Linked DNA regions of Cricetulus griseus. The protein of the gene in region 3 purifies or fractionates together with the protein of the main gene of each other region. This does not show direct contact. Links are inferred from orthologs where the notes say so. Each region holds a gene or a part of one and is shown on either strand. Other genes may lie near its edges.

The links.
Region 1: the proteins of Vcp (region 3) and Svip purify together in Homo sapiens (affinity purification with western blotting; 3 studies listed by BioGRID and IntAct, with this or other methods). This does not show direct contact. The link is inferred for Cricetulus griseus from reciprocal best matches to the Homo sapiens genes VCP and SVIP.
Region 2: the proteins of Vcp (region 3) and Rpl13 purify together in Homo sapiens (affinity purification with mass spectrometry, with the first as the bait; 3 studies listed by BioGRID). This does not show direct contact. The link is inferred for Cricetulus griseus from reciprocal best matches to the Homo sapiens genes VCP and RPL13.

Annotation. Positions count from the first base shown.
Region 1 is NC_048596.1:148,858,369-148,862,116, forward strand, and holds the start of Svip (small VCP/p97-interacting protein), read right to left. Parts: upstream 2,605-3,748; coding exon 2,551-2,604; intron 633-2,550; coding exon 582-632; intron 303-581; exon of another isoform or gene 147-302; coding exon 36-146; intron 1-35. UniProt on the Homo sapiens protein: Negative regulator of the ER-associated degradation pathway (ERAD) of misfolded proteins. It competes with AMFR/gp78 for binding VCP/p97, and inhibits AMFR/gp78-VCP/p97 complex formation that is required for degradation of ERAD substrates.
Region 2 is NC_048596.1:199,781,813-199,785,560, reverse strand, and holds Rpl13 (60S ribosomal protein L13), read right to left. Parts: upstream 2,380-3,748; 5' UTR 2,373-2,379; coding exon 2,269-2,372; intron 2,165-2,268; coding exon 2,023-2,164; intron 1,975-2,022; exon of another isoform or gene 1,888-1,974; intron 1,833-1,887; coding exon 1,659-1,832; intron 1,155-1,658; coding exon 1,098-1,154; intron 279-1,097; coding exon 120-278; 3' UTR 81-119; downstream 1-80. UniProt on the Homo sapiens protein: Component of the ribosome, a large ribonucleoprotein complex responsible for the synthesis of proteins in the cell.
Region 3 is NC_048595.1:100,551,538-100,555,185, reverse strand, and holds part of Vcp (transitional endoplasmic reticulum ATPase), read right to left. Parts: intron 3,212-3,648; coding exon 3,099-3,211; intron 2,614-3,098; coding exon 2,449-2,613; intron 2,363-2,448; coding exon 2,240-2,362; intron 1,797-2,239; coding exon 1,584-1,796; intron 1,420-1,583; coding exon 1,111-1,419; intron 883-1,110; coding exon 727-882; intron 1-726. UniProt on the Homo sapiens protein: Necessary for the fragmentation of Golgi stacks during mitosis and for their reassembly after mitosis. Involved in the formation of the transitional endoplasmic reticulum (tER).

The DNA.
Region 1 (3,748 bases), on a different chromosome or scaffold from region 3:
GGGAGTTAGTGAATGAACTGCCATATGATACTCACCCTAAGTCCACCTGCTGGTGGCCCTGATGTTTCCATCTGCTTTTCTAACTGTTCTTTCTTCTTCCTCTTTGCCTCCACCGAGTGAATATCCAAAATCCCCCGAGATGCAGCCTTTAAGAAATTCAACCAAGGGAGATTACAGAGAAAAAGCAAAAGTATCTGGTGTCCAAAGGTGCTTGTTTTGCTTTTTAGCTTTTCATTTAGGGGTGGGAAGTTGGTTTGCATAACAGGGCAGTATGCCATAAAGCCTTGCATAAAACAGTCATTTTGCAACCACATCCTCCTTATCAGCATGGTGAGTTTATCCTGAGGAAAAATGCTGTCACAGGACAGGCTTAAATGCCAAAGTCATCTGGGGCTGTTTTCACAGTAAATGTTGTAAATGCATGCAGTTCATGGATACTTGGAAATCACTTTGAGAATGGTTATCTTTGAGTATAAAACTATGTATGTCATCATGTACTTTACAGCAAAGGAACACGACAGAAAGTAAAATAGAAAGTGAAATAAAATACTTATTGAACAGGCAAACTATTGTGCTCTCACCTCTTTCTGTCTTCTTTCTGCTGCCTCTGCCAGCTTTGCTCTTTTCTCTTCCTAAGAAAATACATAACATGTTTCAAGAGAAAAATCAAGCATCATAGACCCCCTTACACACCTTTACTTTAGAGGCAACAAAAATAAATAATTATGTGCAAATTGAAACAGTTTGTAAAATCTTAGTATGGGTGCAAAAGCCTCACAAAGAAAGTCACTGTAAGAGTCCACTAAGGTGTGCTGGAGCTATAGTTTCAGATTCTAGTTATGTGAGGCTGAGGCCCAATCAAGACTAGCCTGAGCAACATGGCAAGAATTTAACTTCACTCAAACAAAATAAAACAAAATAATCCTGAATTCTACCAATATTACAATATTTATTAAATATTTAACTTCCTGAATTTCATTCTCTAGACCAATATACCAATTAGCACATGTAGAAATCAATATAAGTTGGCCTGCAGGATATTTACTTCTTAAAAAAAATGGACTTACATTGGGGATTAAATGTTTTTAAAATGAAGTTTAAACCATGAGGGTAATTTGGAAGTTAGTTTAAAATGGGAATGAAGCAGGTTGGAGTTTGGGAAAACATTTAGAACCAGTGGGCTGATCTCACTGTGTTGGATCGGGGAGATAAAGAAAAGAAACTGGGGGGGGGGGCACTTGTCTCAACTCTGGAAACACCATGGTATTTTTTCTATGCCCTTTCCTTATTAATTATAAAGTCTTTAAATACATTCAGACAACAAGTAGCATTATCTTGGTGTGTGATTTTAACCATTTTTTTCTCCACACCAAGTACACACATCTATCCATCACAATGATTGTCACCAATTTTTCTAGGCACTAAGAACACAGCCATGAAATACAGACACCCAAACAGACTTGAGTTCAGTAAGCAAATATACATCTGTGTGTCTGAAGGAAGTAACAACTCAGGAAGAGATACAATGATCCTGATGGGTAAGGAATAGGAGGGAGGTTGCTGATCCTACAGCTTATTTATGAGCTCAGGGAAATCTTAGGTGCTAAGTGAAGTACACCAGTGAGCCCTGTGGTTAAGGGAAGAGGATGGCAGTGGGGACAGATGGCATAACAAATGCTGACAGGAAATTTTTCTCAGGAGCTAAAACACAATTTTTTGTTGTTGTTGTTGTTGTTTTGTTTTGTTTTTTCGAGACAGGGTTTCTCTGTGTAGCTTTGGAGCCTATCCTGGCACTCGCTCTGTAGACCAGGCTGGCCTCGAAATCAGAGATCCACCTGCCTCTGCCTCCCGAGTGCTGGAATTAAAGACGTGCGCCACCAACGCCCGGCGCTAAACCCAATTTCAACAGTATCTAAAATCAACAGGAGCCACAAAGGAAGGCTAAACTTTCCAACATCCACTAAACAGTCACTTTACTATATATAACCGAGTAGCTAACGGACTAATATACTTCCCTAAATCTCTCATTGCTTCAACTAATTTTTAGCTACACCAAGAACCGATGCAGAGAGAAAAATTAGATCGTTATGTTACCAAATACAGGTAAAAGTATTAATACAAACATACTGTTAGAGCAAAGGGCTTGCTTATATTCGACTTTCAAATAAATAATGACTGTTTTCACATACATACATCCCAAACACAGCACTACTGGAAACCTCTAATCTAAAAGGCATGACTTGTTTATGTGCAATTTAAAGCTGGGCAGGTCCCCAGCTGTTACAAACCAAGCAAAAGGAAGCAGCAGGTTAATAAAATATCCACTATTTGGCACAGGGAGCGGCGCGTCCAGGGCCTTCGCTGTACAGCTGGTACTGACAGGAGAAGATGCCCGTGTGTAGAGCAACCCCCTAGGGACAGGACAGCCCCCACCTGCTAGGTCCGAGGAGGGTCCGGAGGACAGCCTCGTGGAGTGTCCAACGGCCAGTAAGGTGCACCTTCCACCTAGATGCACCACCGAGTTGGAGTAGCGCGAGGTTGGCTACTCACCGGGCTCGGGGACGGCGGGGCGGACTCCGCAGGACATGGTAAGCACAGCCCCATGGGGACTCTGGCACCCCAGGCCTGGATCGGGATCTTCACCCCAGGCTGCAGCAAACCCCGTCCATCGACAAGTTCCGCCCACACCTGACCCGAGGCAAAGCCCCGCCCTGAGGCAAGACCTGCCCCACAGCAAGACCCTCCCCGACCTGAGGGGCAAGATCCACACTGAGGCAAGCACCCCAAAAGCGCCGCCCAACTACAAGCCACACCCCTGTCCCGCCTATGGCAAACCCCGCCCCACCCCACATAGCAACAAGCCCCGCCCATCTAGGCTTACCGCAAGCCCCGCCTCCAGTGCGAACCTGCTACACCTGACCCGGCTGCAGTCTCCATTCATCCGGTCCAGCATCAAGCCCTGCCTCCGTCGCAAGTCCCACCCAATAAGGCCTAACAACAACTCAACCCTTGGTCTTCTCTCTGGCCCCTGAAGCCTAACTATGGCAGAGCCCCACCCATCTGCGGCAAGCCCCGCCCCAGTATGGTCGCCATCGTTAGGCCCCGCCCATTCCGGTATGCTCCACCTGATCCATCGCTCCGCCTCACCCACTTCACTGTCAGTCACTCCCTCCAAATGAAAACTCATCAGCACACCCCTAGGCTCTCAAGGCTCCACCCTCGAGGCGGAGCTGATTTCTCACCCTCTGAGGCTACGTAGGGACCAGGTCTGTGCAGAGCCCAGGAGCTCTGCACATGCGTACTTAGGTGTGGGCAGGTGCCTGTGGAAAAGACCGTTGGGATTGTAGGAATTCTGGCCTCTGAGGCCCTGGAACCTGGGTTTTAGTGCGCGGTCAGCTGCCTTGTCTGCCTCCCAGCGGGGTCAGTGCTGTCGGCGCTGAGCCAGCAGGAGGAGAAAACCGCCACTTAATCCCAACTCAGAGTGAATCGCGACCACATTTTCCTCATGGGACACGATAAAGTCCACCCAGAAACACTTCAGTGAAGTGCAGCTCAGCTTTTCATAAACGTGAGACTCCCCTGGCATCTGGCTAAAATTAGATTTAGGAACGCTAGGGCCCAAACTGACATTCATGTGCAGAGCATGCCTCCCCACACCAAGGCTTTGCGGTTATTCTGACAGCCTGTATTTCCCAAATCAGCTATTTGCCCGCGAGCCCAGCTCATGCCTCCCTTCTTTTAGATGGAG
Region 2 (3,748 bases), on a different chromosome or scaffold from region 3:
TAGCTGCCTAACTCCAGTTCCAGTGGACCCAGCACTCTCACACAGGCATATACATAGACAAAGCACAACATCCAGCTTTTGCTTTATGGAAAGTTTTATTGCAGTACTCCAATAGCACATCACTTTTTCTTTTCAACATCTTGCTCTGCAGCTTCCTTTGCCCTTTTTGCTCGGATGCCAAAGAGCCGGGCATTGGCCCGGGCCATACGAAGACTGGCAAAAGCCTTGAAGTTCTTCTCTTCTTCTGTGATAACTCTGGCTTTCTCCTTTTTGTAGACCTGGAAAAAGACGTAAGTCAAGGTGGTTTGAATTGCAACCTGTCCACAGAACTGTAACTCTGTCTCAACTCTCAGGAGTGACAGAGACAGGATTCTTCCAGGATCATGTAAGTTACCACAGTACTTGGAAGTTTGAGGTAGGAGGATCCTGGGTAGACTACAAAGCAAGCTTTGGCTTACACACAGAGACCCCGTTCAGAAAATAACTAGTCATGACTTCAGTTAAGAACATGTGTTGGCTAATTTTACGAGTCTCAATGGGAAAATGCATCCAGCAAAAAGACAGGGCAGTAAAGCTGGGCCATAGTGGCACACACCTTTAATCCCAGCACTAAGGAAGCAGAACTTTCTGGTCTACACAGGGAATATGACTGTGAAATGGTAGTGCTGGATTCTACAGCAGCACCAGTCTCCACGGCCTCTGTATCAGCTCTTACCTACAATGATGGACCTCTTTCTTTCTTCAATGAAGGACCATAATGTGAAAGTGTAAACCAAACTTGGTTTCGACCATGGCATTTTATCACAGCAACAGACACATGCCACGCCCCCTTCAGGCTGGGAAAAAAGTCCCCCACCCCAACTAGCAAAACAATGCCACCCGTTAAAAAGATGAAGGTTAGCCAGGTGGCGGCACACACCTCTAACCCTGGCACTCAGGAGGCAAGTAAATCTCAGAGTTCAAGGCCAGCATGGCCTACAGCACAGGATGGCTAGGGATAGAAACCCCCCCCCCAAAACAAAATCTAAAAGATTTAAATCTACATGTCCATCACAACACTTTCCTCCTGCCAATCTTAACTTCAAGCAGTAACTTACATTCCGTATGCGCATCACAGGTCCTGTTAGCTGGGTGGCCAGTTTCAGTTCTTCAGCCTGTTTAAGAAGAAAAGTTGAGTCCAGCTCCCTTTTTGTCTTTCACACTCATCGCCCTGGGTGCAGTTTGTTCCTAATGAGCAGGCTGCCTAGGCCTGTAGCCCTCAGCATTTCATGGCCCCCATGTGCTGGCTTACTAGGCATAGGGGAGGGTCCTGTTCGATTGAGGGGACAGAACAAATCCACCTTCTTCTAATCCCACTCTGAGGAAGCCCATAACGACAGATACCCCTGATGCTTGTTAAATGTCTATGTTCTTTGCATTCCTGAATACTAAAATACTAGACGTCCAAAAATGTTCCTAGATAACCTTGTAGGGGGCAAACCATCAAATAGCAAGTCAGGCCCCAAGCCAATAACCTTCCATTAGGACAGAAAACCACAGGGATTTCAGTGGCCCACACATGACTTGTACCGCCGCAGTGTCACCTCAGCAGAGCGGGACCCAGGCAGACTCATCTACACTGAACCAAACCCAACACCACGAAGACCCGCTGTACTCACAGAACTGTCTCCCTTCTTGGGAGCAGAAGGCTTCCTGGGGAAAAGTATGAGCTTGGAGCGGTACTCCTTCAGGCGCTGCACATTGGCCTGTAGTGATTCAGTGGATTTGTTTCGTCTCCTTGGGTCCACAGAGATGCCGATGGTTCGAGCCACTTTCTTATGGATACCAGCCACCTAGCCAGAAACAGTAATGGATGAAACACCTCCAAGTCCCTCCCCTGCTGCCCCCGCCGAGAAAGCTCGGCGTTATCAGATGGAAAAGGGTTCAAAAGTACTTTCATCAAGACAGTACAGCGATTCCGGAGAATTGTCATCATTCCACCGAGACCAAGAGTACTCAGCGCAGAGACCCTGCCGAACTCACCCTGAGTTCTTCCAGGCTGAAGCCCCTGCCAGCTCGGACCTTGGTGTGGTATCTCACTGTAGGGCACCTCACTATCGGCCTGATGGGACCGGACGCGGGGCGAGGGGCGATGCGGCGCGCTTTCGCCTGCCGGGCCTTGCGTCTGCGGTAAAAACACAACAGTCACCTCCGGCCCACACGCGTCCATTCCGGCACCCCGCCCCGGGCACCCCGCCCCGGGCACCCCGCCGGGCCCGCGCGCCACACCTGCGGATCTTGCGTGCCGGCTGGTTGAACCAAGTGTCCACTCGCCGCTGCCAATCCTTGTGGAAGTGGGGCTTCAGGATCATGCCATTCCGGCTGGGCGCCATGGCTGCCTAAGGCCGTGAGGGAGAGGAGGGCGGCGGGTGAAGGCCAGAGTCCCGAGCTCCCGCCCCAAGTCCTCCCGCCCTGCCCTGGCTCCGGCCCCATGCCGTCGGCGCCTGGGCTCCTCCATAGTTGCGCAGGCTGCCTCTCCTCGCCGATGGCGGCGGATGGAGCGCGATGGAGCCCGATGCAACACGATGGTGGCGGCTGACGGTAGGGACTCACCTCCGGTACAGGAGAACGGCCGAGCGGAAAAGACCGAGCGCCGCAAAGCACCCTGGGGTTGTAGACAGTCCGGCCAATCCAAAACACCCGAGCCCTTTAGCCAATCAAAACAGGGAAAAGAGGAAATGGCGTCATACGAACCCGTCCACCGGCGGACCATCGCCTCTCTAGCCGTAAGACTCGTTTCTCGCTGGTTCCCAGCCTGGCACGCGACAAGGTGACTATGTCTTTGTGGGGGCTGCTGAGTCGGAGGAGCACAGATCGGAAAACTCAAAAGACTTGCGAGTTAAAGTCCTAAAAATCCTTCTCCTTCCCCGGTTCAGTGTTTTTTTTTTTCCCCCACCCACTCAGGAACATTGTGTTTTTTTTTTCCTTCGAGACAAGAGTTTCTCTGTGTAGCTCTGGTTGTTCTGGAACTCATCCTGTAGCCCAGGCTGGTCTCGAATTCACAGAGATCCTCCTGCCTCTGACTCCCGAGTGCTGGGATTAAAGGCGTGCGACACCACCGCCCAGCTCTTCATTCTTTTAAGAGCTGTGGTCTCTCTGTGTTGCCCACACTTGCCTAGAACTCAGGCTTCTCTTCCTCGGAGCTGAAATTACAGGCACGCACCACCATCCCCGACTTTTTTTTGTTGATTTTCTAGTTTATTTATGTAAGTCCGTGACTCATGTCTGCACCATGTGCATGCAATGATCATGGAGGCCGGTAGAGTGCATCGGATTCCCTGGGGCTGGAGTTATTGACAGTTGTGAACTGCTGGGAATTGAACTTCTGGAAGAGCAAGCAGCCAGTGCTTCAAACTACTGAGCCATCTCTCCAGCCCCAAACTCCCCATTTATTTCGATAAATCCTTAAGTCCCAGACTTAACTCCTCAGGATTGGGTGTGGCCAAATGCATATATTGAATTCTTACCCACAATGGCAGCATCAACAACAAACCATTAAGCAGCCAAGGCATAATCTGTCCTACATCTGTAAGACAATAACCCTGTTTTTCTTTTTCACTCCCCACCCTAATTACCAGGTTTCATTCTGATGAAAATTCCATTGTAAGAACTGTAGAAATGGCTCGGCATTTAAGAGATCTATAATTTTTTTTTAGAAATCTACAAGATGTCACTACAATCCACATTATAGTTGGGACTAGTGTCACAG
Region 3 (3,648 bases):
CCTCCCACCACTGTAGCAGTTTATTGACACAAAGGACCTCTCCAAAGGGTAAAGAAAGCAACTTGCTCATTTCTTATTCATTCACAAACCTCCAAACAGTGGAACTACAGTAGAGACAGAATTGTAAATTTCATAGTTTTTACATTCTTATACTTAATTTTTCTATTTTGAGAGTACAAGAATTCCCTTCCCCACCAGGATGCTGAAGTCCAGACTTCAGTTTAAAAATCCTTTTCCAGAGGGTTCGAGAGATGCCTCAGCAGTTAAGAGAACTGGCTGCTCTTCCAGAGGACCCAGGCTCAATTCCAGCACCCATATGACAGATCACAACTGTCCATACCTCCAGTTCCAGGGAATCAGACACCCTCACACACATATACATGCAGGCAAAACACCAGTGCATATAAAAATAAAATTAAATAAATAAAAAACCCTGTTCTGTTCTGTTGCACAATCATACTTTCATTTCCCTCAAGGCATCAAGCTTACCCAACCCAACCCTTTATCTCTAAAAGTCTCATGTAGGGCCCTTTATTTCTCATCTTGCTGCATTCACCGAGAGCTGGAATATGCCTGCACCACACCCAGCTTAGCTGTTTATTCATTTTCTAGGATTCCCTGCTTAACATCTCAGTAAAGGGACCCTCCTAATACCTTCTACTCTCAACTCTGGGTCATGGAGGATGGTCCCTAGAATGGCACATTTGAACAAAGATACTGACTCACCATAGCTGATGGATTTGTCTGCCTCTCTCGTTCTCGCCTAATCTCACTCTCAATAGATTCACGAATGGCCAGTTTACAAGCACGTTGGCAAATCTCTGTCAGATCAGCTCCAGAAAAGCCATTTGTCATCTTAGCCAGGAACTCCAAATCCACATCCTAAAGGAAGCAAAAAAGCTACTTAGTTTAGCATCGTTAACTGCCTCCCATGGGACACATAGATCTTTGAGCTACTCTTGGCTCTGCCACCCCATTTTATTCTGTATCTCTTAAATTATCCTAATATTCACAAATCTCTCATATTGCCTTTAGAAAACCTACAAATCCCCAATGGCATCCTATCCAGGATAGAAAAAAAGGCTTCATGGCTGACAACTTTGCACATGCCTTGGCAACTGGAGACTTGCGCAGGTTAGCCTTCAGGATGGCAACACGGGACTTCTCATCAGGAAGTGGGATATAGATGAGCTGATCAAGACGGCCAGGTCTTAGGATAGCAGGATCAATGATGTCAGGCCGGTTGGTAGCTCCAATGATAAACACATTCTTTTTTGTGGACATGCCATCCATTTCTGTCAGGATCTGATTGATGACTCGGTCAGCAGCTCCACCACCATCTCCAATATTACCACCACGAGCCTTGGCAATTGAATCTAACTCATCAAAGAATAGTACACAGGGGGCAGCTTGCCGTGCCTGGGAGAAAGAAAGAGATCAACTCAAATATTAATTAATCTCTCAAACTTCAGAAGAAAGCAATCACTGAGCTGCCAGTAATAAAATAGTTTTGACTATGAAGAAATAGCCTCCTATCTTACCTTGCCCCCAAACATATGAACAGCCAGCCTCTGAAAACTCACCTTGTCAAAAATTTCCCTGACATTGGCCTCAGATTCCCCAAACCACATGGTGAGCAGCTCAGGACCCTTGATAGAGATGAAGTTAGCCTGGCATTCATTAGCAATGGCTTTGGCCAGCAAGGTCTTCCCACAACCAGGAGGTCCATAGAAGAGAACACCTTTGGAAGGGGTCATTCCAAATTTGAGGAATTTGTCTGGATGCTCCACAGGATACTAGAAGAAAGCAAAGATGATTTAAGGGCAACCTCTCAATATTTTAAATAAAATCGTTATTAATCAGAAGCATAGGGCTGGAGAGGTGGCTCAGCAGTTAAGAGCATTGACTGTTCTTCCAGAGGTCCTGAGTTCAATTCTCAGCAACTATCTGGTGGCTCACAACCACCTTGAATGATATCTGGTGCCCTCTGCTGGCATGCAGGCAAACATAATAAATAAATAAAATCTTTTAAAAAAATCAGAAGCATATCATCTACTTTGTGGCACATCCTATGGTCTATGGTGCTAGTTTTTAAATAGGCTCCTTACTACCTAAAACTCAGTAAGAGCAGGCTTCTGAATTATAGTCACAATTCTAAGTAGATTTGAGTCTGAGACCTAAACGGCCAATTACTATACATTGAGGCAATGACCCACCACCCTAGAGCAAATTGGCCTACCTGAACCAGTTCCTGAAGCTCCCGTTTGACATCTTCCAAGCCTCCAATGTCTTCCCAGGTTACTTGTGGCACCTCTACCACAGTTTCCCGAAGTGCTGATGGGTTGCTTTGACTCAAGGCCCACTAAAAAGGGTGTTTGAAAAAGGGGAATGAGATGGAGGGTGGGGGGTGCATACAACAAAATAACTATTTGTGGATATAGTCCTTACCCGGAAATCATCCATAGTAACTGCCAAGGAATTCATGACCTCTGCATCAATGGTCTCATCCTCAAGATCAATAAGGTCCATTTTTTTCCGGATGGCCTGCAGAGCAGCCTCTGAACACAGGGCTGCCAAATCAGCACCTACATGGCCATGAGTCTCATTGGCTACCTGCAGAGAAAAGATCTACTGACTATCCTCAAGAAACCACTTCCTTAAGAAGTCAGAAACAGAATCCTGAGTCCACCCCGATTCCTATCTCTGATTCCTTTTATTTCCTTAAAGAGATATATACTACAGCAGACCTTTTAGTGGCAAGTATTAAATACTTAAGCCTGGATTTGGGAGCTAGAAATAAAGCTGTTCAACAATGTATGAATTACTCTTAACAGAGCAACAATTAAGAAACACATTTTCTACCCTGAAATCAAAATAAGCTCCATGCAGCTCTAAAAAAAAAAAAAAATGAAAAGATAGACTCTTGCTGGGTAGCCCACACTGACCTCAAACTCAAGATCCTCCTGCCTCTGCCTCACCCTCCCCAAATTCTGGGATTACTGATATGAACTCTTATCTTAGACTATGTTAGTAGTCCCTTGCAACTTCCTAAAAACAGAGCTACCCAAGGTTTTGGCCAGCCATCATCACCACTCCACCTGTTCCAAGTCCACATCATCTGCCAGTTTCATGTTCTTGGTATGGATCTGAAGAATTTCCAAGCGTCCTGTAGCATCAGGGATTCCAATATCTACCTCTCTGTCAAAGCGACCTGTGGGAAAATGCAGGAATGTAAAATAGGAACAATTTCTGGTCCACAGTGAAGTCACTCCAAAACTCTCTTATTTAGAGTTAACATTAATGCCTCACAACCTGGAAATTCTTCAGGTTTAGGGAAACCAAGACGGGTAGTTACTCTAGAGCAATGGTTCTCAACCTGTGGGTCACAACCCCTTTGGGGTCAAAGGGCCCTTCCCATATCAGATATTTACATTATGATTCGTAACAGTGGCAAAATTAGTTATGAAAGTAGCAACAACGTAATTTTATGATCAGGGAGCTCACCACAACATGAGGAACTGTATTAAAGGGTGGCAGCATTAGAAAGGTTGAGAACCACTGCTCTAGAGGGAATACAGAATAGAAAAAAAACAATGTAGATGAAAGACAGGTGAGATAAAGAAATCAAGCCAGCAGAACTGTAATATA